4 linked regions of the Caenorhabditis elegans genome follow. The protein of the gene in region 1 interacts with the protein of each later gene in a pairwise test. Each region holds a gene or a part of one and is shown in the gene's direction. Other genes may lie near its edges.

Evidence for each region.
Region 2: the proteins of act-4 (region 1) and hmp-1 interact in a two-hybrid assay, tested with the Caenorhabditis elegans proteins (one large-scale study listed by BioGRID).
Region 3: the proteins of act-4 (region 1) and aspm-1 interact in a two-hybrid assay, tested with the Caenorhabditis elegans proteins (one large-scale study listed by BioGRID).
Region 4: the proteins of act-4 (region 1) and plin-1 interact in a two-hybrid assay, tested with the Caenorhabditis elegans proteins (one large-scale study listed by BioGRID).

What each region holds. Positions count from the first base shown.
Region 1 is NC_003284.9:4,958,760-4,964,916, forward strand, and holds act-4 (Actin-4), read left to right. Parts: upstream 1-1,861; 5' UTR 1,862-1,902; coding exon 1,903-1,959; intron 1,960-4,040; coding exon 4,041-4,775; intron 4,776-4,831; coding exon 4,832-5,010; intron 5,011-5,065; coding exon 5,066-5,225; 3' UTR 5,226-5,654; downstream 5,655-6,157. Other genes in the region: M03F4.6 (EB domain-containing protein), read right to left, coding at 5,747-5,851. UniProt on the Caenorhabditis elegans protein: Actins are highly conserved proteins that are involved in various types of cell motility and are ubiquitously expressed in all eukaryotic cells.
Region 2 is NC_003283.11:11,844,217-11,851,911, forward strand, and holds the start of hmp-1 (Vinculin), read left to right. Parts: upstream 1-1,660; 5' UTR 1,661-1,661; coding exon 1,662-2,045; intron 2,046-2,089; coding exon 2,090-2,545; intron 2,546-2,591; coding exon 2,592-2,795; intron 2,796-2,867; exon of another isoform or gene 2,868-3,090; intron 3,091-3,190; coding exon 3,191-3,721; intron 3,722-3,823; coding exon 3,824-4,651; intron 4,652-5,134; coding exon 5,135-5,275; coding exon of another isoform or gene 5,276-5,323; exon of another isoform or gene 5,324-5,572; coding exon of another isoform or gene 5,573-5,680; exon of another isoform or gene 5,681-6,564; coding exon 6,565-6,665; intron 6,666-7,406; coding exon 7,407-7,554; 3' UTR 7,555-7,695. UniProt on the Caenorhabditis elegans protein: Required for cell migration during body enclosure and cell shape changes during body elongation. Required for proper localization of other junctional components, such as pac-1.
Region 3 is NC_003279.8:9,221,221-9,228,204, reverse strand, and holds aspm-1 (Calponin-homology (CH) domain-containing protein), read left to right. Parts: upstream 1-1,814; 5' UTR 1,815-1,821; coding exon 1,822-1,882; intron 1,883-1,933; coding exon 1,934-2,636; intron 2,637-2,700; coding exon 2,701-3,024; intron 3,025-3,128; coding exon 3,129-3,765; intron 3,766-3,811; coding exon 3,812-4,765; intron 4,766-5,124; coding exon 5,125-5,495; intron 5,496-5,543; coding exon 5,544-5,617; intron 5,618-5,761; coding exon 5,762-6,198; 3' UTR 6,199-6,455; downstream 6,456-6,984. Other genes in the region: gip-2 (Gamma-tubulin interacting protein 2), read right to left, coding at 1-42; lipt-1 (BPL/LPL catalytic domain-containing protein), read right to left, coding at 152-368, 413-613, 663-781, 833-1,069, 1,119-1,214.
Region 4 is NC_003279.8:7,055,184-7,059,846, forward strand, and holds plin-1 (Perilipin-1 homolog), read left to right. Parts: upstream 1-2,008; 5' UTR 2,009-2,024; coding exon 2,025-2,120; intron 2,121-2,174; coding exon 2,175-2,771; intron 2,772-2,807; coding exon 2,808-2,894; intron 2,895-2,949; coding exon 2,950-3,153; intron 3,154-3,200; coding exon 3,201-3,302; intron 3,303-3,353; coding exon 3,354-3,413; coding exon of another isoform or gene 3,414-3,434; exon of another isoform or gene 3,435-3,984; intron 3,985-4,001; coding exon 4,002-4,112; 3' UTR 4,113-4,161; downstream 4,162-4,663. Other genes in the region: W01A8.2 (UPF0235 protein), read right to left, coding at 430-525, 724-851, 929-1,067, 1,117-1,185. UniProt on the Caenorhabditis elegans protein: Lipid droplet-associated protein which plays a role in lipid droplet clustering.

The sequences.
Region 1 (6,157 bases):
TTTGAATTTCTCTAAAACATCAACCCCATTAAAATGATACTTAAGGCTCAGTAACTGAAAGTTGGCAATTTCTTGACATTTTCAATTTTTGTCTCGCACCTCTGATATACATTGGTGATCATAAAAGTTCAGACTTTTCATAAACCTTGGGAATTTTGACATTGTGTTAGTGTAAACTCAAGCTGCGGTGTTCAAAATTTTCCAGTTTACCAATTCTGAGAAAGTCTGAAACGAGCACACACACACACACACACACAATGTGCTCTTAAGAATGAAGAGTAGACAGCAAGTGTGTATAAACATGCCATAGTGTATTGAAAGAACCTATAGTGCATTTGTGCTTTATGGTGGGCATGAAGTGATGTCATCTGATCCCTTGTTGGGTCAATCGTTCTCACAAAAAAAAGCTGTGGAACACATTCGTAAACAGAACGTCGATGCCCCCCGTTTCTGAATCATCAGTGACATTTTACTTCATTTCTAAACATAACATTTCCTTTTTTTTGCCTTCCGTCATTGTTTCTCATATTTTTCTATACGACGATTACTCATCAAAAGAGGACACGCTTCATGTTTTGTAACGAAATGGAAAACTATTTTTTTGTTCTTATTCGGGAAAAGTTGGATGTGAAACATTGGGAGAACACCGCGCACGGTTGAGGGGGGGGGGGGGGGGGGAAGAGGAAACCAATTTGACCACTATGTTTTGAAAAAAAAAGAATCTCAATGAGTTTTCTGGGTGATACTAATTAAATTGCGAACCCATTTAATCAGGTCCCTCTTTCTCGGCACTTTGTTCGTTTTCTTCGCAACCAATAAAACTGGACCCCGAGAGGTAACATGTTGTTGATGGTTCCTGATGATGCTCCGCTCTTCCCGCTTCTCATCTCCCCCGCATTGTGCAGTTGAAAGCAAAACTTGCAGTGTAACACCGAGAAAGCAGGGCAGCTAATTCAATGGAAACAATTCAAACTTTTTGGAGAAAAAAAATCTAAACCCTCTCGCTCAAAGATTATATTCCGGCGGAATACAGAAAAAAAAAACAAATTGTTGAATCATATAAATTCAAAAATCGAACATGTGACAATATCCAAGAATAGAAATTGATGACTAATACAATTTTCAGAAATTTTGCTTTGTTGTGATTTGAAACAAAATCATTTTCAGATATACTTTGAAGTACAAAAAGTGTTGAAAACATGAGGAATTTTCCTTTAACACTGGCACGTCATGCTCCACTTTGACAAAATACGTGTCAAATTTTTTTCTACATTTGAACATTGAATCATTTCTTAATAAAACTAGAGACCATCGATATATTGGAAAATACGGTTCCTTCATTACCAACTTACAGTTAAAAAACCTCGCTTTTCCTGATATTGATGACAAAAAGATTAATTCTAGATTCGAATATATCACTAAGTATGGCAAGAAAAGAGTTCTGAGAACATCTTTAGTCTGCAGTGCCACGACGTCTGCAATTGTTTTGCAACATTAAAATCTTACGGTTCCTTATCAAATTATCCCTTAAAAACCGAACGGCCGTTCGCTTTTCACTGACCAATTTCATAATTACAAAACATTTTTAGGCGTTTTTCTCACGTTGCGCTCTGCCGAACGCCTCATCTTCGAGGCGGGAAGGCGCGACGCGGTCCCCCAATTCAAATTTTCCAGGACACCACCACCACACTGTTTTTCCCTCCGTGTCCCGCCCTTCCGAGGACCGTCTGTCGGATGGCCGCTCTCCAGTATTCCCTCAATCCCTCATTCGGTTGGGCGGGGCCAGCCGACCAATGGCAAAGAGCGGCGCGGACGCGTCGCGTGCAGCAGTATAAATAGGCCACGAGAGGCAGAGTTGTGCACTGGTTTTTCACTAGGCACCCGCTTTCAGTTCCCAAAAAAATGTGTGACGACGAGGTTGCCGCTCTTGTGGTGGACAATGGATCCGGAATGTGCAAGGTGAGTTGATAACATTTGAATAATTCTAATTAGGGACAAAGGTTTAAAACAATATTATGCAATCTTAACTGCTCTAGAAACATTTGAATATAAGATTTAGAAATTTTGGAAAATTTTATTTTGTTAGTTTTAACTGCGCTTATTCCAACTCCATGTCTCAAATTTACTTTTCATTTGGGTTTAAAATTTCCAACAACCTAGGAATAATTCCATTGCATTGTATAAAAAGTTGTTTCCCTGCCGCATAAGGATTTTGAATTTCTATTCCTTCTCAACGTTTCGATTTGCATTGTTTCGCAAATAATTATGGCAACAGTTGTAGTAGTAGTGGGTGGTGATTCATATCGTCCGTCAACACCTGCGCGCGGTCACTCGCTCCCTCCCATTTTCAAATCTGGCGCCACGCGCCCCTTTTTCATCCCACTGGGAGAATATGTAAGGGGGGGGAAGAAAAAAGGAATCGTCGCAAGGATATGTTTTTAGTGTATGTAGAGTATTGTTGGAGAGGGGCCAACCCGACCCCGACCCGATGCGCATTTGCAATGGTGTGTGAGGAGAGGCCGTCCGTTGAGGGAACGTCCGCGACGTTTCCTTCGTACAATGGGATATATCACGACCAGCCAACAGTAGTGTAATGCACATTCCGAGAGGGCAGTGGCAATAGTTGAATAGAGATTTCGCCAGTAGATTAGCAACCCCATAAGATAGAAAGAGAGGCAAACCATTCAACAAGAACAGCGATTTTTTTCGTCGTCAAAAGCCAGTAGTTTTTTGTCTATCCACGACGGGTATCTTTATTTGCAACCACCTCACTTTGCAATCCTCATTAAGTATAATTTGGGAACGAAGAAGCGCAACGCGAACATCAATTATCCGCACCACCCTCAATAGTGCTACTTGGCTAATTTGTGGCCCTAGGAAACAAGATGTGTGTGAGTGTCTGAGAGTGTGAGATTCCGATGGTATTGGCGAACCCTTCCCGGATTTATTTATATATATGTGTCAGAAAAGAGGCTGCCGCTAATCGCTAATCTTGACAGTGTGTTGGTCAAGTGTGCCCTTGTATCCTCCTCGCATCACTGTATGCAGGGCGGCGGTTTCCCTCCATTCGGCCTCTCTTGTTGAATGACTACCACCACGCCAACAGCCGAACGGATGGGAGACGGATAGGACACAAGAAGGGACGGACGGACTGTCAAGGCCAAGAAATGCCACCTTTTGTCAATCCTCACTATATTGATTGATAGAAATGAATATGCGCAATCTAGACATGAGAGTCCGATTGAGGCCAAGTAGTAGGAGGCGAAAAGTGCGATTAGGATGAACGGGGAGAGAGTAAGTGACCGGGATAGGATTGTACAAATGCAATGGTCATCAGGGACTTTCATCATCAAAATGTCCCCCTTCCCATTCTAATTCAATTTTCCACAATTTCCATTTGAAATCAAAAAACTGACACGCTCACATCTGGTGCTCTTGGTGTGTAGACGATGACTCAATGCATTTCGAAATCTGTCTTAGTGCCCGAATGCCCCGCTTCTCAGTGCTGCTGATGGCCTCCCATTCGCCCCGTTTCCTATCTCATTATTCAACAGCGCAATTGGATTGCGAAATGGATCTGAGTGGGTAAAAAAAAACGGGGCCAGTGGCAGCAGCAGGCCCCTGCGACCAACACGGGGGTAAGCGAGCGCTGGGCACACTCTCTCACACACACACACACACACACACACACACACACACAAACACAGAGAGACATACACACATCTGTTGAGCGTTGTCGCCGCTCACCACACACCAAAGCGTTCTCGGAAAAAGTACTTCATTCGATATCAACCGTGAACTAGAGGAGTAGAGCGAGAGAGGGCATTTTGAGAATAGGGGAATGGGCCTTTTGTGTTTGCACTGCTCTCGCTCGTGCGCGGACTCACTGCGCTCTGCCAAATCTCGACCGAATTCTCGCCGCAACCTTCTCTCTTTGCAATGTAAATATAATGGACATTCTTGAAAGACCTAACGAGAGTATTCATTTCTTATCTAGGGGTCATCATGGGATATATTGAAACAAAAATTGATAATTTCAGGCCGGATTCGCCGGAGACGATGCTCCACGCGCTGTCTTCCCATCCATCGTTGGACGCCCAAGACATCAAGGTGTGATGGTCGGTATGGGACAGAAGGACTCCTACGTCGGAGACGAAGCCCAGTCCAAGAGAGGTATCCTTACCCTCAAGTACCCAATTGAGCACGGAATCGTCACCAACTGGGACGATATGGAGAAGATCTGGCATCACACCTTCTACAACGAGCTCCGTGTTGCCCCAGAAGAGCATCCAGTCCTCCTCACTGAGGCTCCACTCAATCCAAAGGCCAACAGAGAAAAGATGACCCAAATCATGTTCGAGACCTTCAACACCCCAGCCATGTACGTCGCCATCCAGGCCGTGCTCTCCCTCTACGCTTCCGGACGTACCACCGGAGTCGTCCTCGACTCTGGAGATGGTGTCACCCACACCGTCCCAATCTACGAAGGATATGCCCTCCCACACGCCATCCTCCGTCTCGATCTTGCCGGACGTGATCTTACTGACTACCTCATGAAGATCCTCACTGAGCGCGGTTACTCCTTCACCACCACCGCTGAACGCGAGATTGTCCGTGACATCAAGGAGAAGCTCTGCTATGTCGCCCTCGACTTCGAGCAAGAAATGGCCACCGCTGCCTCCTCATCTTCCCTCGAGAAGTCCTACGAACTTCCTGACGGACAGGTCATCACCGTTGGAAACGAGCGTTTCCGTTGCCCAGAGGCTCTCTTCCAGGTAAGAAAATATTTGCACCTCTAGCTAAACATAAAATTAATTCCTATTCATTTCAGCCATCCTTCTTGGGTATGGAGTCTGCCGGAATCCACGAGACTTCTTACAACTCCATCATGAAGTGCGACATTGATATCCGTAAGGACTTGTACGCCAACACCGTCCTTTCCGGAGGAACCACCATGTACCCAGGAATCGCCGATCGTATGCAGAAGGAAATCACCGCTCTTGCCCCATCGTAAGTTTAACTTAAATGGATTTCAAGAACTAATATTTACTTTCTATTTTTTCAGCACCATGAAGATCAAGATCATCGCCCCACCAGAGCGCAAGTACTCCGTCTGGATCGGAGGATCCATCCTCGCCTCCCTCTCCACCTTCCAACAGATGTGGATCTCCAAGCAAGAGTACGACGAGTCCGGCCCATCGATTGTCCACCGCAAGTGCTTCTAAATTTTTTGCCCCTTCCACCCACAACGCTCAAAAGAAGTTCGTATTATCCCGCAACCCATCCAGACCATCCTTTTACATTTTTTTTATTTTCTCTTTTTTTTTTCTTCACCCTCTCCGTGTACATTGCTAGTAATAGTTCCAACTTCTCTAGCCGACTGCATTATGCTTCCCATTCTCACCCAAATCTTCATTGGTAACTTCTCTTGTATTTGTTCAATACTATTCCGGTAGTAATCTAGGCATGTATAACTAGGTTCTCTGTGTATCTTTGGTTTGAAGTTGAGGTTTAATGCAATCACTTTTGTTGTTGTACCCTATTACTGCCGATGACCCCCATTTTCTCATTACAAAATTGACATTTTAAACCATTTTTTCTCTGAATCATGCTCATTATTTGAGCCACATTCATAATAAAGCTTTTAATAAGACAAATTGATCAAGTTTATCTAATGTAAAAAATACAAATAAAGAAAATTCAACCCGGAGGAGAGATGAAGTGAGTAGCTGTTACGGAACACAGATTATTTGCCTTGTTTGTTTCCGAAGATGTCTCCGACGCGGTCCAAAATTGAGCCAATACTGAGCGGATCATCTGGATTTGTGCAACGGACTCCTAGTAGTTGATCCTGTAATTTAGAAGGTGAGTTTTTTTAAACTAAAACAACAAATCTTAGAAAAATATGTTGTTTTTTGAGTTTAAAATAAGAATTGAACACAAAATGTACAACAAAAATTAAAAAAATTCATGGAATTCTTGATCCGCTTTTATGATTAGTGTCTCATTTTGTTTTACTCAAGTATGTTATTAAAAATATATCATACAATGTTTGAAAAAATATTTTTAACGGAAAAAAACAGGATATGGACGCAGCCTATTATTCATTTTCTACAAGTCGAAACATTGCCACATGAATATAGCATTTTTATAAAAT
Region 2 (7,695 bases), on another chromosome or scaffold:
TTGGCCACACTTCGTAAAAATTCTATAAGTATCTTAGTAACTCCAGTGAAAAAGTTCAATAAGCCGGCAACAGTTACTAGATTTCCGTAAATTGTCTATGAAAGTTTAGACAGGAGAAACCTCTTAAAATTGGGACAAAATAGACTCTAAATCAAATTATTATTGAACATATTTTTACAATAGCACAGATCGTGTTGCAGTGATTAATAATGTTGTTGATATCATCTGAGAAAGTTCAGGTTCTCAGAAAAATGCAATCTCAAAAATGTACTTTCCCTGATTTTTCCTAGTTTTTTTTCTTTTTTTTCACTTCAGTTCACCCCCGCGATTCAAAGTTTACAAACAGCTGCTGCCGTGTACAAAACGTGATTCAGACTTCTCTATGACTCAGATTCCACTTTTTTGAAACGAGAAATTGTTTCGGTCGTATTCAAATTTAAATTTCAATACCCAATATAAGAATATGATGATGATGCATCAATTCACTGTCCTTCCATATCCCTCAGAATTATCCCTCGAAATCTCCGAATAAGACGTAGAAGACGTCAAAACAAAAGGGAAACTTTTTGTCCCTTTTCCATCATCTTCTCAATACTCCTTCCATAAAAGTCCTTTATTTCCGGGGCGCACACTCACACGCTGCTGCTGCAGTTGCCCCAACATAGGCCATACGTACCCAATTTTATAATCCATGGGAGTCGGGCAAACAAACTCAATTCGGTCATCTTCTCCATCTGTCGAGTCTCTGCTCATCCCGAAGGGAACCGTCCTGCTTCCGTCCGTCCCAATGTCTGTGTCTCTTCATCTCCATTGACCAGTGTCCTTGCCTCTTCGTCCTCTATTCCCGCCGCTCGTCCGTTCTTATACCCTTCTCTCCGCTCACTCGTCACCCGCTGACTGACCGACCGGCCAACCCGACTGAATCATCATTTCTTTATGTGTCTTCTTTCTCTCTATATTTAACAGTGTCTTCGTACACCGGTTGATGGTGCGGAATCATCGTTTTCACCATATTCACTTCTCACTCGCAAATACCTCAAAAGTTTGCTTTTTGTGACTTTTTGGCTTCGCAACTTTTTTATTTGAAAATTTTTGAGTGTGAAACATATATTCAACATGGCAAATAAAAACTAAGTTTCTTCATTTTCGGTCGAAATTTTAATTTTCGAATTTGTTTTTTTCTTAAATTTTATTTAAAAAATAGTTATTTCCTAAATTGCCGGCATGTGAAACATAATCCCCTATTAATTGTTTTGTTTTTTCGTTGAGTAAACACCCGAAAGGCCTCACAGGCCCCACCACACTTGTTTCTCGCTATTTTGCGAAAGGATTTTTTATTTTTTTCATTGAAAATTTAATTTTTAATTTTTGAAAAGTTAGAGTAAAGATTTTTATTTTATATGAGTCATTTTCTCAAAGAATAAGTAAATTCTGTGTTTGCCAATAAAGTTTAACGGTGACAGTACCCTCTTGGATCTCTTTGAGACCAACCACCCCTTCTTTATCGTGCGCCTTCAAATCTAACAGTAGTTCTAATCGATACTTTAATGTAAGGTTATGTATTTCTTTTTATATTTTTTGATTTCATCTCAATATAAATATTATTTCTCTTCGTTTTATTTGCATTCTAATCTGAATTTTCAATTTTATTAATTTTCAGAATGCCTGCGAATGGCAATTCTCATGCGTATTTCAACATCGACGAAGTGCGCTCGAAAAATGTTTTGAAACAAATTACTCAATTAATCAATGAAGTGACCAACATCACTGAAACGTTTCCGTTAAAACCTGGACAAACTACTGAAGGACTTGTCGCCACTCTTGATGCTGCCGTTGCTAATTTTCTTCAAACGGGAAGCTTTGCAATTTCGAAATGCCCAATTGCAAACAGTGATCCACGCGCAATTGATTTATTGCACGAAGCTCTTGGAGCAGTTCAAGATACTGGGCAAGTGATGATTCAAACTGGAAGAGATTTTGTCAGAGATTCAACTTCAACAAACAAACGAGCTATTGCAACGAATTCTGGTAGAAATTTGTTGACTGTAAGTTTTTAGGTACTCTTTTAACTGAAAAATGTTGTATTCAGGCTGTCGCTAAATTCCTAATTCTTGCCGACTCGATTGATGTAAAAGTGATAGTTGATAAAGTAGATGAAGTTCGAGAAACTGCACACCAAATGATTGAAGCGGATACAAAAATCAAAGTAGATGATTTGTACAATCTTCTCATTTCTCAAATCGAAGAACTTGATATCACTGTTCGACGACGAGCCATTGATTTGGTTAAACCAAATCAGAGAGATGATCTTCTAGCAGCAAGATCAGCACTTCGACAGACTGCACCACTTCTGTATACTTCAACACGAACATTTGTAAGACATCCAGAACATGAAGAAGCTCGAAGAAATCGTGATTACACTGCAGATGAAATGCATTCTGCTTTAAATGCTCTTGAATCTGTTTTAAACGGACAACAACCGAAAGTAACATTTTCTGAATATGGAAGAATAGGCGATCTTATCAATGAAATCGATACTTTTCAAGTGAGTTTAAAAATTTCAAATAATAAGACAAATAATTTATTTTAAGAATCGAATCGAAATTGATCCAGCCCATTATCGTCGAGGAACTGATCGTCCAGATCTTGAAGGACATTGTGAACGAATTGTTAGTGGTTCTGCTTCAATTGCCGATGCTGAAAGCACTCGTGAAAATCGAAAACAAAAAATTGTTGCTGAATGCAATAATTTGCGGCAAGCTCTTCAAGAACTTTTGACCGAATATGAAAAATCTGTAAGTTTTTTCTATTGATCTCTTGACTTGTTGCCTCGTTTAAAATAAAAAGAAATAAAAAACATTCAAAGAAGCGCATCTTTTTCACAAAAGGGCGATGGAGACGGTGAGAACAAACAAACAAACAATCGTGCGTTCTTTCAAGTGTGACGCCTTGTCCCTCAGGGCGAGAACAACTGTTTTTGTTTGTTAACCGAACTCGAACTAAAGCCGTTTTTTAGAAAAAAAAATGACCACCGCGAGTTCAGACATGGAAAATGTTTTTTTTAGAATTTCGGGGAAATTCTTTAAAAAATTTGTAGTAGTAGAAAATATAGAGACTACAAAGTTTTTACAATAAAATTTAAAGCTTATTACGACCTGTTTAACTATGTTTTAAATCTGTAATTTTTCAGACCGGCCGAAGAGATGATAATGATGATATTCCTCTTGGAATCGCAGAAGTACACAAAAGAACAAAAGATCTCCGGCGACACCTTCGTCGTGCAATTGTAGATCATATAAGTGATGCTTTCCTGGATACCCGTACACCGCTTATTTTACTGATAGAAGCTGCTAAAGAAGGCCATGAAGAGAATACAAGATATCGTTCAAAGATGTTCCAAGAGCATGCAAATGAAATTGTTTCAGTTGCTCGTCTTTCTTGTCAACTTTCATCAGATGTTGAAAGTGTTAGTGTCATTCAGCATACGGCTGCTCAACTTGAAAAACTTGCTCCACAAGTTGCTCAAGCTGCCATCTTACTTTGCCATCAACCTACTTCAAAAACTGCTCAAGAGAACATGGAAACCTATAAAAATGCTTGGTTTGACAAAGTGAGATTGTTAACGACTGCTCTTGACAATATCACTACTTTGGACGACTTTTTGGCTGTCAGTGAAGCACATATTGTTGAAGACTGTGAGCGGGGAATCAAAGGTATCACGGTAAGTATTTTAGTTCTCAAAATTTTAAATTTAATGAAAATTAACAAAAATAGTTTTCGCTAAATTCGTCAACTTTTGAGACGTTCAAACTGAATTTTCCAGGCAAACGCTTCAACACCGGATGAAAATGCGGCCAACTGTGAAACTGTCGACTGTGCTGCCGGATCGATACGTGGACGAGCTCTCCGAGTCTGTGACGTTGTCGATGCTGAAATGGACTTCCTTCAGAACTCTGAATACACTGAAACTGTTAAGCAAGCTGTTCGGATTTTGAAAACTCAACGTGTAGATCAATTCGCTGAGCGTGCGAGCGCTTTAGCCAACCGTCAAGAAGCACACGGACTTACATGGGATCCAAAAACAAAGGAAGAAGAAATGAATGAATTTATCAATGCTTGTACATTAGTTCACGATGCAGTTAAAGACATTCGACATGCACTTTTAATGAACCGAAGTATGAATGATGTTGATTCGGATGTAGAGTATGAAGCTGATGGTGTTGGTGCAGCAAATGCAGATGCTAATCGTACGATATCCGAACAAGAAAATCAACAGAATCTGATGAGACGATTGCCAGAAGAAGAGAAAAAGAAAATTCAAGCACAAATTGATATCTTCAAAGTAACACAAACACGATTCGAAAGAGAAGTTGCCAAGTGGGATGAAACAGGAAATGATATTATATCATTGGCCAATAATATGTGTAAGATTATGATGAGTATGACAGAATTCACAAGAGGTTGTGGGCCATTGAAAACGACAATGGATGTTATCCGAGCAGCACAAGAAATCTCACTTAATGGATCAAAACTAAATGCATTGGCACGGCAGATTGGAGAAGAAAGTGCTGATTCGCAGACGAAAAAGGATTTGCTCGCATATTTGTCACAAATCACTCTATATTGTCAGCAACTGAATATTTGTAGTAAGGTGAGTTTTTTTAATTGGTGCCACGAGCTGTAAAAGCGTACCAAATGTTTTTGGTCAATTGTTTGTTTCGGGGGTTTTTTAAATTTGTCAAATTAGTTTTTCAAGAAAATTGTAAAGATTCACAATTAAAAACGCGTCTATAAAAACTAAAACTGAAAAGAATCTCGTATTTTTCAGAATTATCTGAAAAGTTTTTGAAAAAATTGAGAATTAAAAAAAAAAACTTATAGATAGTGTGATATTTCACCAAAAGAGGTTTCAACTGTTTTTAACGATTTCAGTAGAGATATAATTTTACTTCGCGTTTTTTTTGCGAACCAAGCTCTAGACTGAAGCCATGAAAAATGAAAAAAAAATTGTGATTGGCCTCACTTATACTAGAAAATTGTTCATATACTTACTATAAATAAGTTTTGTTTAAATTGCTTTCAAAAAACCATGTGAAATATAACTTTAAACTTTTAATAGAAAGTAATATTTCAGGTGAAAGCTGATGTGACTCAAGTTGGAAATGAGCTTGTCGTATCTGCACTTGACTCTGCAATGTCTCTTATTCAAACGGCTCGAAATCTTTTAACTGCTGTTGTACAGACTGTTAAAGCTGCATACATTGCCAGTACCAAGGTTGGTTCCCTTTCTTTAAACAAAACATTAATTATTATTCCCACTTGATGTCTGATACTATTGCTTTCCAGCATTTATCACACATTTCTTTTTTCGTACAGACGATAACGGCTGCTTACGTAATTCATTTCAAATCAGATGGTATTTCGCCCACTCTTTTGAGTAGACACGTGGTTTAAAGTGCCAATAGACCAGTTGCCTTTTGTACACTGAATTTTGAGATTTTAGAAAGTGTACCCAAAAGTTTTAGAAAATTAAATAAATAAAATTAAAAAAAAAAAAAAACATTCTCAATAGTGTGCACAACGCGAACGTGCTCGAGTCGAATCAGCCGTTGCGCTTAGCGATGCTCACAAAGCTATTAATTATGAAAGTCCGATGGATGAATCTGGTGAGAAAAAATGAGAAAGCATTAAATATCGTGTTGTGTGGTTTTATCGATGTTGTTTTTGAGAAAAAGAGATATTGAGCATGTCGAATTTAATTTTTTGCTTTTTTCTCAAAATTTACGTTGGCTGCTGCGTAATTTAATGGTAAATATTTTTTATAGTTAAAAAAAGCTTATGTCTTGAGTTCAAATCAGTGGTTAAGACTATTAATGTTTGACGATTTTTTTTTAATGGAGTAGGGATTTTGCTTTAAAAAAATCCAGAATAGTTTGATTCTCAGAAATACCCAAAAAAGAGAAAGAATGAAATGTCGAATTTTCGAAAATCAGATTTTTCAATTTTTGGCGATTCCCTATTTGAATTCTCTCAGTTTGGTGCGAATTCAAACATGGAATTTAGCCAAAAATTAAAAGCAAAATCTCAGATTTTTATAGATTTCCTGAATCCTAGAAAATACAAATTAATTTTCATTATATTCCAAAAAAAAGAAAACAATTCCAGTTAAATATGTTAATTCAAATTGGTAAGGACATCCCTTTCTTATTTTCCCTTCACACTTAAAAATCGTTTTCCCAACAAAAAAACATTTAACTTTCTAAAAATGCATTGTATCGGTCTTGATGTGTGGACATCGATCCCCCAATATGTCGGTCTTGTGATCTTATACTCCCCCGTAAAAAACTCATACATTTTAAACTAGATTGTATTGCAACTTTAACTAAGAAAAGAAGATTAAGTTGAAAAAAAAACTTGAAAGAAATTGATACGAACGTAAAATATGTGTTATTGTTGATGAAAAGTGTCTCGATGTTGTTTGCTGTTGGTTTCATTTTCTTAAATTGCTCGAATGCTTGGAATTCTTTGCTGATAACTTCCTGAAACTCATCCTTATTCTTGCAGTTCCGTCGTCCTAATGCCAACAGTGTACGTGTCGAGTGGCGAATGGCTCCACCAAAGAAACAACCACTAATTCGACCACAAAAGAATAATGCTATAATCAGGTAACGTTTTCATCTATTTTTTTTGAATCAAGGATCCCTCTATAAGTGTTTCCTTTGCCTGCAAAAGGACATATGACACACTTCATTGAGAAGCCATGTGAAAAAAAGTAGTCGGTCCCTGAATAATTCATAAAAAATAGCACTGCCACCAGAAAATGGCACGTAGCTGCCATTGTCAGTAGTCCCAAGTCCCTTTTTTTGTGGTAAAAGTGGTGAAAGCCGAAAGAGCTGCGACACCAAAATGTATATTCTTGACTTGTTGAGCAAAAGTGTATCCCTTGAGGATCATAAATGCAAATTGAGTTTTCGGAAAGCAAAAAAAAAGCGACAATGTTCATAAAAAGTGATGAATAGTTGGATGATTTCGGACATTGAAATGAAAGTTTTAAAGCATCAAAAAACACAATTTTTCTTTTCTTTCAGAAAATTTTCCCCCCCTGAAAAAATTTTTGATAAGATTTCAGACATTTTTTAAACCTATTAAACTAAATTTTACGATTTTGAGATGCACCCCGTAAATCGACACAAGCGCTACAGTAGTCATTACAATAATTACTGTAGTTTTCGCTACGAGATATTTTGCTCGTCAAAAATATGTTGTGCAATACGCATACTCAGAAGTTGGTGTTCCCGTGATAGGTGATCACTAATTCTTGATCATTATCTATTCCATTACAGAAAATTAATTAGAATCCCCCTTTCAAAAGATGTATTCAACGAACGCCGACTAATGTTATAAAGAGTTTGCAGACGGGCATCCGAACGGCGACCTTTGCAACCAGCTAAAGTGCTCGCCGAGTTTACGCGTAACGAGATTGAGACGGGTCGTGATAGTGACGACGAGGAACTTGATCGCCGGCATCAACAAAGAATAAACGGTCGTTTATAGATAATTTATTTCAGTTTTATTCATGTATCTTCATACTTTTCCCTTCCAAATCTTTCCACACATCCTTTATATGCCCGAGTCTTTATTATTTTCTCATTCTTTCAATTCTCTTCAGCTAGAAATTTGTATCTGTGTATTTTT
Region 3 (6,984 bases), on another chromosome or scaffold:
ATCCCTCCACGGCTCTCTATCCTTGTGAGCAGTTCGCATCATCTAAAAATTTAAATTTTACTTAAACGGAATTACTGTGAGCAAGAGAACAAGGGAAAATACACGGAAAATCAAATAACGACTAGAAAATAATTAAAATAAAAAGAAATGACTAAAGATCCGGCGAGAATTGTTGATTTGTGTCTAACACGAGTCCATCTTTCACTTCAATTATGGACTTATTTTCGCGGGAATATTGAAATTTCGGGCTTTTTCCATAAATCCATTTCCAGGCTTTCAACTCATCAAAGATTTTCGATATTTCTGCATTTTTCTTCACTTCCTCTGCAACATTCACAGTTTTTATATGTGATTCTTCGAACAGTTTTCTGAAATTTTTTAATGATTGGAAGTTTTTAGTTGCTCCGTTCACCTATAAGCTTCAACAATGGCTAATTTTGATTGTTCGACATTTGCATTGGCATCATCTTGTTTCAGAAATCCAACAGCCGGAGCTCTTACGCTTCTTGTAGCATTTGATTCGATTTTATCTCTCCATGGAGATTTCAAAGATTTTGATAATACTTGAAGATCCGCACCGACGAGGAGTGTTAGATGGTGATAGGCTTGACCTCTTAAATTATTCACATAACAAGTGTTTAAAATATTTTTTTTAAAAATACCGCGCAATTCTTGCAGCTGTTCCTGAGCATTTCCGTTCTCCTGGATGTAGTTCCATGTCATCACGCTTGTTTGGAACGATTTTAACAGAAAATTGTTGATTTAGAGCATCCGAAATGAACTGGAAATAATAAAATGATATTTTTATTATTTTGAAAAATGATATTAATACCTTCAAGTTTTTTGGCCGACAGTGTTGTGCGTGTGTTGTTAAAAGTGAAATATTCAGATTTCCTAGATCATGATAAACAGTGCCTCCTCCACTGTGCCTTCGGACAATTTGAATATTATTTTTGTTAGCATATGGTATGTTGACTTCAATCCACGGATTTTGATGTCTTCCGATGACTACAGCCGGTCGATTACTCCACATGAGCAGGATTTCCCCGTTTTGAGCGACATTGTGAGTCTGAAATCAAAAACTATAGCAAAGGCACTGAAATTACTGCTGAACTGACCCTGAAAATATGCTCCTCATACGCAAGATTTTCGAAAATGCAGCTTGACGTGGATTTCAGAACTGTGGACAATTTTCCGCGTGATATAGAACACATTTAACAAGAAAAATAAATTAGGAAAAGGTAAGAAAACTGTTTATTTGCAAGATTTGAGAAGAAGAGATTGCTAGCATTAAGGAGACGCAGACATTCAGTAATTGCGCTCCATTTATGACATTGTGGCGCGAGCGTTCAAAACATAAATTTTACTTTTTTTTCATTGATTTTTGTTTGATCTAAATTTCCGAAAGCTACCTGAAAACTGTTTAACGCTTTTCTACTATAAAATCGTCACCTTAAAATCTTTTTTAAAATATAATTTTTGTGTGAATTATAAAAATGCACAGTAGCAGTTTAAAGGCACACTTCTTAGTTCAAAGAAATGGTCTTATCACGATTACAGTACCCAACCTGAACGCGGCGCGAATTCCGGATTTATCCCCAAAACGTTTTTTTCCTCCGTTTTAGGTGGCCATTTGTACCGCGTCCAAAACGCGTAAAAGTCCCCAAATTGTCTTCTTTGTTCGACAATTGCACTGAAAACTGACAAAAAACTAACAACATCGGGACTTTTTCGCGTTTTGGACTCGGCATTGAAACTAATATCGCTGTGTCTTCCTTCCTGATTTATTCGTCTTTATTTTTTGTATTTTTCAGAATCAAAATGGATAATAACGTTGAGGATAAAAAAGAGGCAATGCTCAAACGATTAGCAAATCGACACGGTAACAAGATATTTATACTTTATCTCATTATTTATTTTCTTCCTCTTTCAGAGAAACGCCTTCTTGATCAAGTCAAATCGAACACAAAGAAGATCGATTTGAGAGCAACCGAGCGAGCCTTTTTGGAGTCGAGTCCGACTTCAATGAATATGCGAACTCCTCTCAATCCTTCAATCAGCTCTTCTGTATCAGATTCCCCGATTCTATCATATGATGAGAAAGCCAACAAGCAAATTATTGCACTCGCCACGTGGTGCAACACAATGATGGAATTGGATGTGTCTGAAGAGATGGATCTAGGAGAGTCGAAAGCAGAAGCCTGCAGAAATATCCAAAAAATGTTGAAGAAAAGATCAGATACGTCAGAAGTGGAAAATACACAGGAAAATGCACGCAGGAGATATCAACGGATTTTTGAGAAAAATGATCCAGAAGTTGTGAAGAAAAAGTGCAAGCAGCTTCTAGACGATTCAGGAATGGATGCAAGCATCAAGGATCTTCTGTCCAAAAACAACGTCGCAATCCGAAAAGAACATGCCGTATATAATGACATAGGCCTCCAAACAACTCTTCTTCACACATTTCTATCATTCCATCCTGCTTGGCTGAAAACTGCTCTTGAAGCAATCTTTAACACGAGAATTGACGCTCAACCGAAGCATTTAATGAAAAAACTTTCTCAGTTTTTCCTCGATCTAGTTTTCTCAAATCCGACGATGCTAAAGAACAAGAAATTTGCACAAGGTTCTGGAAAGTAAGTTGCTGATTTCAGAGGATGAACGAGTTCGTTAAAATTATGCCTAATCAAATTTTTGCAGACCGATCATCACTGAGGCTGGCAAAGAAGCTCTACACAAGCATTTTCTGTCCGTCTCGATGAAGCTGATGTTCTTGATTGAAACGGCACACACTCATCGAGTTATCCCGAATCTGACGAGAATCTTCACGAAGTCCTCTCATTTCAATTGTCTCGACGATGTGTTCTCCGAACTGACGAAGGAATTGTTGACTGGAAGCTCTGCTACTTTCAAAAAAGCGTTTGCAAAAGTCGGTTTTATTCCGACTTACCGACAATCATTCATTGAAAATTACGACTACCAAGCGAAAGGATTTTCAGATTTCTCGGATGGTCTAATTTTGGCGTGAGTTTCTAGAAAGATTTCTTATAAATTACACGAGCTTTTCCTCATTCAACAACAAATGTTATCACTGTCCCTATTTCCACCGATCATAACCTATTTTTCAGAAAGCTGTTGGAAACTGTCGGAGAGATGCCGCATGGTCAAATTCTGTTGAAGTTACGTGATCCAGCAGGCGACCGCATCCGCAAAATTGGAAACGTGAAGATTGTACTCCAGGAGATGTCTTCTTTGGGTGTTCCAACGGATAATGTTAACGCCGAATCAATCGTTGGCGGAAAGAAAGACGAGATTTTGTCTATTTTGTGGGCTATTATCGGAGTTCGTGTGGCCAAGGAACAAAGAATCAAGGTGACGAGAGTTTCTGAAGAAAGAACTCCGAAAAAGCGGCGATCTGCTGTCCACGATGACATGTCTTCTGAAGTATTAAAAATGTGCAAGATTTACGGAAGACAGATGGAAATCGAAGTCATGGACTTGGATTCACTCTCCGATGGGTGCCTTCTGGCCAAGTTGTGGACCACTTTCGGAACAAATTCAACACCGATTCAGGACTATGATGGACTCAGTCTGTGGGAGAAAGTTGTTTCAGTTGCCGAGTTGGAGCTTTGTATTCAGCGAGGACTTGATCAGAACATGGCTCTTTTCGTAAAAATGTTTCTGGAACGACTGGGTATGATTCAAGATCTAAATGAGAAAGCGACCAAGATTCAACGAATGTGGAAGGCCTACGTGCAAAGAAAGGTATTCATCAAAAAATAAAGTTATTTATATTATAATTCACTTTCAGAATACTCCCAAGCTGTATTTCATTGTACAACAACTTCTTGCCGACTCATCAATTCCTCGAAACCGAAGTGTTTCTCCATTCTCTAATAATGTCACTTTCACAGTACCGAGGACTCCACGGAATAATATTCTGACTGAAAGACCATCTCTATCACAAATCCCATCGTCTCGCCAATCAATGGATTCTACCTTCAACGATGCGACGTTTACTGTTTCACGTGATTCAATTGAAAGCATGAACAAGATGCAGAAAACTCCACTGAGAGGTACATTCACAAGAAAAACAATTGCGATGGTTATCGAGGAAGAGGATGATTCGGAAAATAACGAAACGGTCGTACCAAGTACATTGAAAAAGAGAACCGTTGTCAGAATGGAGCACAATGCGGAAGTATTCAGAGAACAAGATGAAGATGATGAAAACCAAGACAAAGACACTGTTGCTCCTTCCGCTGAGAACTTGGATAGTCCACCTTCAGACATCCCATTAGAAACTCTTTCTTCTATTCCTTCCGCTTCCCAATCTGCCATATTTCTTCAAGACTCTGAAACTGGCAAAGAGATGCATGTCCCTAAAGCTGAAGATGTCGGCGTCGTAGTTCTTGAAGCATCAGATTCTCCGGTTGCACTAGAAGGGAACAATGAAGCAAGCTATGATGGTCAGAAAATTGAGAACTTAGAAACTTTTGAAATCAAAGAGGGCAAGACGCAAGAAGATCTACCTTCAAAATCTCCTATGGATCCTACGCAGACAAGCGGAAGCCCATTGGTTGAATTCAGAATGACAGAAGAACAGGAGCGTTTAGAGATGCTTTTCCAGTCATTATCAGAAGATCAGAAGAACTTCGTCAAGACGAATAACCTTAGTGTGTCTATTGAGGACGATGCCAACACTCCTGAACTTAGAAGGATCTTGAGACAAACCAGAGAACTCAAGAGAAAGCAACAGGAAATTGTGAGTCTATATCAAGTTTGACAGATTATTTAATGGTGGACTCAACAGTCAAAAAACGAAACATTTTTTGCTTTAAATGAGAGAACAGATCATAATGACCACATATAACTGTAAAAAATTGAACATTTTTCTAAATTTTTTAATGGGTTTTTTAAAAATTTTGTAACAATAAAAGAAGCGACTGATAAGGCCCGCCGAGATATTCGTTTTCCTGGAAAATTTGAATGGATTTTCTTTTCTCATCTGGCGTCTCAAATGGAAGCACAAAAAAATCCGAGAAAAACCAGTAAAATTAGCTGTAAAAACGGATATCTCTAAAAAGTGGTCAGGGCCTGGTTAAAAATGGTTAAAAGTTTCAGGCGAGAAAACTGGGAAACATCGAGAGAAATGCGTTAGCTGTTCGTGATGGCGGGGAGGATTCGTCCGACAGTAGATCAGATGCTGGGCACGATGTTGCTATCCTTCACGGTGACGACAGTCAACTCTTCGAAAATTCAATGCAATTGGATCAGAAATCTCAATTGCAAAATGATGAGACTCAAATTCTTGAGAATAAAAAGAAGGCAGCTGTTGTCATTCAGAAAATGATACGTGGTTTCATTGCACGGCGTAAATTCCAAATGGAAATTAGCAATATTCGCAATCGCATGATCCAATACAATCACATATTGGCGCAAGAAGACGAGCAAATTGGTATAGAAGAAATGGAGGATAAATCAGTCGAGGCAAAGTGAGAACTCTTTTTTTTTTAAATATATTTAAAAAAATTGATTTTCAGGCTAAAGAAATGCGCTCTTCATGGACTCACAAATGATAACCTTCACGTCGTTCATGTTGCTGCAACTGTCATCGGTATGTCGCAAATGAAAATTACGAAGAAGCTGCTTTTTGATCTGAAAGTCATAGAAACCAAAAGTTTATGAATATGCCGCCATGGATGATTTTCTTCGTCAATTGCAAAACCATACAACACATAGAAATGTTCATATTTTGCAGACCGAGTCACCGATCTTGTTCCATCACTTTTGGAAAAGCTTGTCGTCGAACTGAATGGCATCAAGTCGATCACTGATGTTTTGATTGTGGCGGATCGAGGATTCTCTTATACGAGCATTCTTCATCCATTATTGAATGTTCTCGAAAAATTATTCACGAAGATTCCCGAAGAAGTCACCAATTCGCATATTCTCCCTCACTTGAAGATTTTGTCGCCTCGCTTGATGCTACTGATGCTGAAGCACTCGGAAGTCAAGGAATTGTTTATTCCTATCATTAACACCTTGACTTCAATTGCTAGAAGATTCCCAGACAAAAAGCAATCGAGTTTTTCTTCATCAAGCTACTCAATCAAGCAGTCGCTCAAAAAAGTCAAGGATCAGGAGTGTCGGAATAAATTGGTCAGATTGGAAAGCATATGCGAAGATATGCTCTAAATTAGTCTCTGTTAAATATTAAATTCATCCCACCGTTTTGTGTATCATATCGTGAAAAAATACACACGGTTTAATTATTTTTATGTGAATATTTACCAATAAGATCAGTCAACCTGATGCTTATTTGGATTTTTTGGTATTTCATATTTGTTTCTTAAAGTCTGTTGTGAAGTAAAAACTTGATTTTAAATACTACCGTTTTTTTTAGAGTATGATGAATTTAGCTACTTTTAGAAATTCAAGAAGTCTGCTATTTTTCTCTGTTCCCTCTTTAAAATTTTTGAGTTTTGCACTTGTTGCGTAGCAGATGGCTCATCCGATTTGCAAATAGTTACTCGTCTTACTCTCCGTTCGCATTACACAGTAACCCTCCGACCATCTTTTTCTGCTCTTTTTTGTACTTTGTCACGTCATTCGGCTCCTGCTCCGCCTACTCAAAATTTTTATGGTTTTTTTCGAAAGTTTGAGAGAAGTAGTACTCGTTTTTCCGAATTTTTAAAATATTGTTCATTAGTTTTTATTAATTCCAGCTATATGCAGTGCCGGCCAAAAGTTGGTGATTTTTCAACAACAAAAAAAAATCAAAAGTAGCTACTTAAGTAGTAATTTTAAAAAACTTACCAGACAGGATTTTCATTATAACTTTGTCTAGATTTTGCTTTCCTCTGGAAAAAAAGTTGAAGCGGCTGACATCTACAGGAATAGATTTGTATATGTTCTCTTGCAACACATGTTTTTGAATTCTAAAGGCGCGTATGGGTCTCGCCACGTGGGAAACGAGTTTCT
Region 4 (4,663 bases), on another chromosome or scaffold:
TATTGAAATAACAATCAAATTATTTTTTCAAATTTTCATTGGGAAACAGGTATTTAAAAATCTATAAAGTGAAATATTTGTTTAATGTGGGTAATGTGTTTTGCATATCCAAAATTTTCGAAATTATGCGAGTTTTACTCCAAAAGTACAGTACCCAGTCTCGCGACGACAAATTTTTGTTAAATACAAAAGCGTGCGCCTTTAAAGAGTAATGTAGATTCAACCTTTTATTGCTGCAGCATGCTGCCAAATTCTCGTTGAATTTTCAGCTTTCTCGCCATTTTTTCTCGAAAAACTGAGAAAAATCGATAAAAATACCACAGCAACGAAAGTTTGAAATTACAGGGCACACTCGTTTAATAATAACACGATTAAAAGATATTTCAGATTTCTTCAATAATTTTTTCAATAACTTGAATTCTTACAGAATCAGTTGTCGATTTCTTCCTGCAACTTCTTCCGTACTTCGTCAATGGTCAATCGTTTTGTGTCTATCAGCACCACTTTGCTTCTTGACTTTGCTCCCTGAAAAGAAGACAAATTCATGGGAATTCCCTCAAATGTTCACGTGAATAATCTGATTCGCTTTTACTATTTCAAGGAGTCATGAAAGTGTTTTCGATTATTTAGAAACTGGTTTCAACTTCAAAGAACATCGATTATATCGTTCGATTCACTTCAATTTATTTGTTTGCTAATTCTAGCTTCCTTTTAAATACCTACCTTATCAAATTGTAATTCATTTTTTCGAAGACCCAAAGCACTCATTAAATATGAAATGAGCTCCTCATTGGCTGCTCCTTCGCGTGGCGCTGCGCCAATTGCTACATCAACTTCCGAATCTCCGATTGCTGCGAATTTAACATTTAGTAAACATTTATCTCTCTCTCGATGTTTCTTCTTCTTTGCAAAATCAAAAATATCTTACCTACAACACAACTCTTCTTGGCGCCCGGTTTTGCGTGAATATGCAGTCCGATTCGACCTTCAGTATCGGAGAAAATCGCTGATTCCTGCGCTTTTTTATCAACTATTTCGCCGGTCGGAACACATTTATTCGCTATTTTCTGTAATATCGTTATTTTTTCTTGATTGATTTTTTTAAAAATTAATTACCTCTTTTTTTGGCTTAACCATTTTCTCCTTGAGGCACGCAGAGGAAGTTCGGAAGAAGCCTGTCCACATAAAAAACTTTAAATGAAAACTGAGAGAAAATTTATGAAAGTCACGATCGTTCTGTGCACTGAACGTTGTATTTTTCTCTGCGTCTGGTGGGAGAGTGAGAGAAAAGGAGAATAAAACAACGAGGACAGTTTTACTATGCGGAATATTTTCAAATTTCGGCGAAAAAATATATTTGTTGAATATGTTTTTTATTTAAAAAAACACAAGATTGTGTTAAGAAACAAACAATTTTCGGATTAAAATTTCTTTACAGTACTCCCCAAGTACAGTATATCTTTAAAGGCGCACACCTTTCTGCTTAATGGTCCCGACATGTTTTAATTATTTAATTTAATAATGGCGCCATTTGTTTAATTTTCAATTTGTTTACCTTTTCTTTCAGACGTTCTCGCGATTTTTCTAGATTCTCCCGTTAACGACCGTTATCAGTTTTTATTTCCAAGTAATTTCTGCGAAAATTTTTCAGGTTTATTATCTTGCACTGATAATCAGCAAAATAGGTAGAAAAAGCGAAGTATTTCTTTTGTTTTCTGAACTTTTCCCTCATTTACTTGTTGTCGTCTCGTTTCAAACACAGTAGCATTAAGGAAACGTGTCTTTTGGCTACATTGTAGTTTTGTAGCGGGAATCCACAATTTTCCAAGTGAACTTATTGCGAAACTTAGTCACCCCACCATCTGATTGGGGGCAAAGTACGTTCACGGAGGACCTACAAATACTAGCTGACCAGTCCTCAGTTTCTCTATCTCTTCTTCATGATTTCTCGTTTCTTTTATTCTCTTTTGAGAACGTATTTTCTAGTTTATCATTTTATCAATTGATTGTTTGCAGCAAGAAAGATGACTGACGTCGAGCAGCCAGTATCAGTTGAGGATCAACAAGCCCAAGCCCAAAGCTACTACGATCAAGTCTTAGGAAATGCTTACGTACAAACGGTATTTTTATATCGCTTTCCAAAATCTTCGTTTCACAATAATTTTTATTTTCAGGCAATCAATGCATACACAAAGACTAAAGAGTTCCATCCACTTCTTAACTCCACATTGAATTCAGCCGAAGAAAAGGTTTCCACTGTCGGAAATTATGCGGCTCAAAAAGCCTATGACGGATACAATTCGTACTACGTTAAGCCAAAGAACACCGCTTATGAAGCAGTCTCTTATGGAACCGAGAGGGCCAAAACAGCTGTTGAGAGCGGAAAGCAAGCTGCTATCGTTGGTGGTACATTCGGAATTGGAGCTGCCGTCGTTTTGACCCAATTCTCACTTGCCTTGAGTGCTGGAGGTGCCGCCCTGGTCCTTGAGCAAGTGGACAGTGCTAAAAAGTTGGGAAGCAGCGCGATTTCTACGATCAAAGAAGCCGAGCTTGCTGTCGAACACAGAATCTTCTCAGCTCTTCATCAGGCCCAACGAATCGCCATGGTTCCTGTGGAGAAAATCACAGAAAATACTAATTCATTGCTTGACATTCTTGACGGAGCAGTTCAGAAAGGACTCAATATCGAGGTCCCACCATCTGTGAACCTCACCATCGGACAGCGAGTCAAAAATCTGGCTTCACTGATCGTCCAAGGAGTATCTAACAAGGTAGAGAAATGTAACATTTTTTGAAAATCCGTCTAGCTTTTTAAGGCACATGATCATGTTATCGATCCAATCAACGAGAGAGCCCGTAATTATCTTGAGCAGCTCAGCCAATCCTTCGTATTGGTTAGTTTATTTTCATAAATGAATATATATTGAATCTAAGATTGATACTTTTCAGCTAGACATCGTCCGTGAGAAGAAAACGTGGGTCATAGAGAAGTCAAACGAGCTCTCCACATCTGTCTTTGATTTCAAGAAAACACTTGAGGAAGAGGCACAAAAATACAAAGTTGCTCCAGAAGAGATGTTGATGAAACACATTCAATCAACCTCCGAGCAACTCTCAACACAACTTCAATCATTGCGTGAGAAGGGACAAAACGTTGGTTGTTCTATTCTAGAAAGTATAATTTATTTTCTTTTTTCCAGGTTTTCGGTGATGGAACTAAGATTGACTCCACCATTGACTACTTGGAGAACTTGAAGAAGAACTTCACAGATGCTGAGGATGTTTACAAAGTCCGCGACGAGGTATCTAAAATTCATTTTAAAAAAAGTTTATCTAAATAAGTATTCTTACAGGTTCTGAACGAGGGACGTCAACGGATCGCCGAGCTTTCAACCTGGACGACTAGCCTTTTGGTTCGTCAACAAACCGAATAGTAACTTTTCTTCTCAATCACCACTTTACTATCTGTAGTCTTTTCATGTCAAATAACTGGCTCAGTTCCTAAATGATGATGACTTCTACTCTTTTCTCAATTTTATTTGTTTTTGTCAGACCTTTGCCCTCCATTCCCCTCCTTCGCACCACCCTCACAAATTTTTTTGATATAGAAAGCAAGTGATAGGCTGGCGACGATGATGGCATCTTTTGTCATGCTATTCAATCTTCTTTCTTTTTGTTTTTTTCCTCTCCATTACACCACTTCGACTTGACCTGTTCTACTATATCACCTGCGCCGCTCCTTCTCGTCATCATCGTTGAGAATGGTTGTTGTGTGGATGTTGCCTATATTTTGTCAGATGTACGATTACCTTCTCAAATTATGCACAGTAAGCAGCCACCTCCTCCCATTTAAAATTCTCACCAGTACCATACTCCTCCCCACATATTTATTCTATCAGCCGTACGTGTATTTTTCCATTCTTAAAAGTCCAAAATCCCTCGACCTAGGTTACCAAAAACAAGGGTACGGAAATAAAGATACATAGCATACGGTTTTGCAGATTATCTCGGCCGAATGGCAATTTGAACCTGAAGATCTACTAATCGAAGAGCTCTACTTCGATGCGCCACCGCCAGTTCGCACAAGAAACTTGTATAGGAATCGTGCCTAAATTACTGATTAAATTGAACAACTTGTAAATAATAAATTGAGTACTCACCTGATACTGATAAGTCTAGATAAGATGCCGATTATCGGGGAAATAAGAAATCACATGTGACACTTGCGGTGATTAATCGCTTGTTTCTCCGATCTTTACACTTAACGTTAATGTCTGCCTCTTTTTATAATTTTAGTTCCTTCGCTTGAAAAATGGAAAAAATGCTTGCTTATATTACGGGAACACAAAAAAAAATGACTACTATTTAAATGACTACTATTCTTTCGACCTCCGTAAAACAATACGTACAGTAGCCTTTTATCGAATTACTGTAGTTTTCGCTACGAAATATTTTGCGCTTTAAATATGTTGCGCAATACGCATTCTCAGAATTTAATGTTACAATAATATCCAAACAAGTAGGGCTGCTTAGGCAGCAACCCCCAGCAGCCCCATAGCAACACTGTACCGTAATTTTTTATTTTCTAAAGTTTTTTCAATTATTTTTCTAAAGAGCTGTAAATAGTCAAAGTTGAGCAAGTTTTCCCGTTCAAGGACGAAAA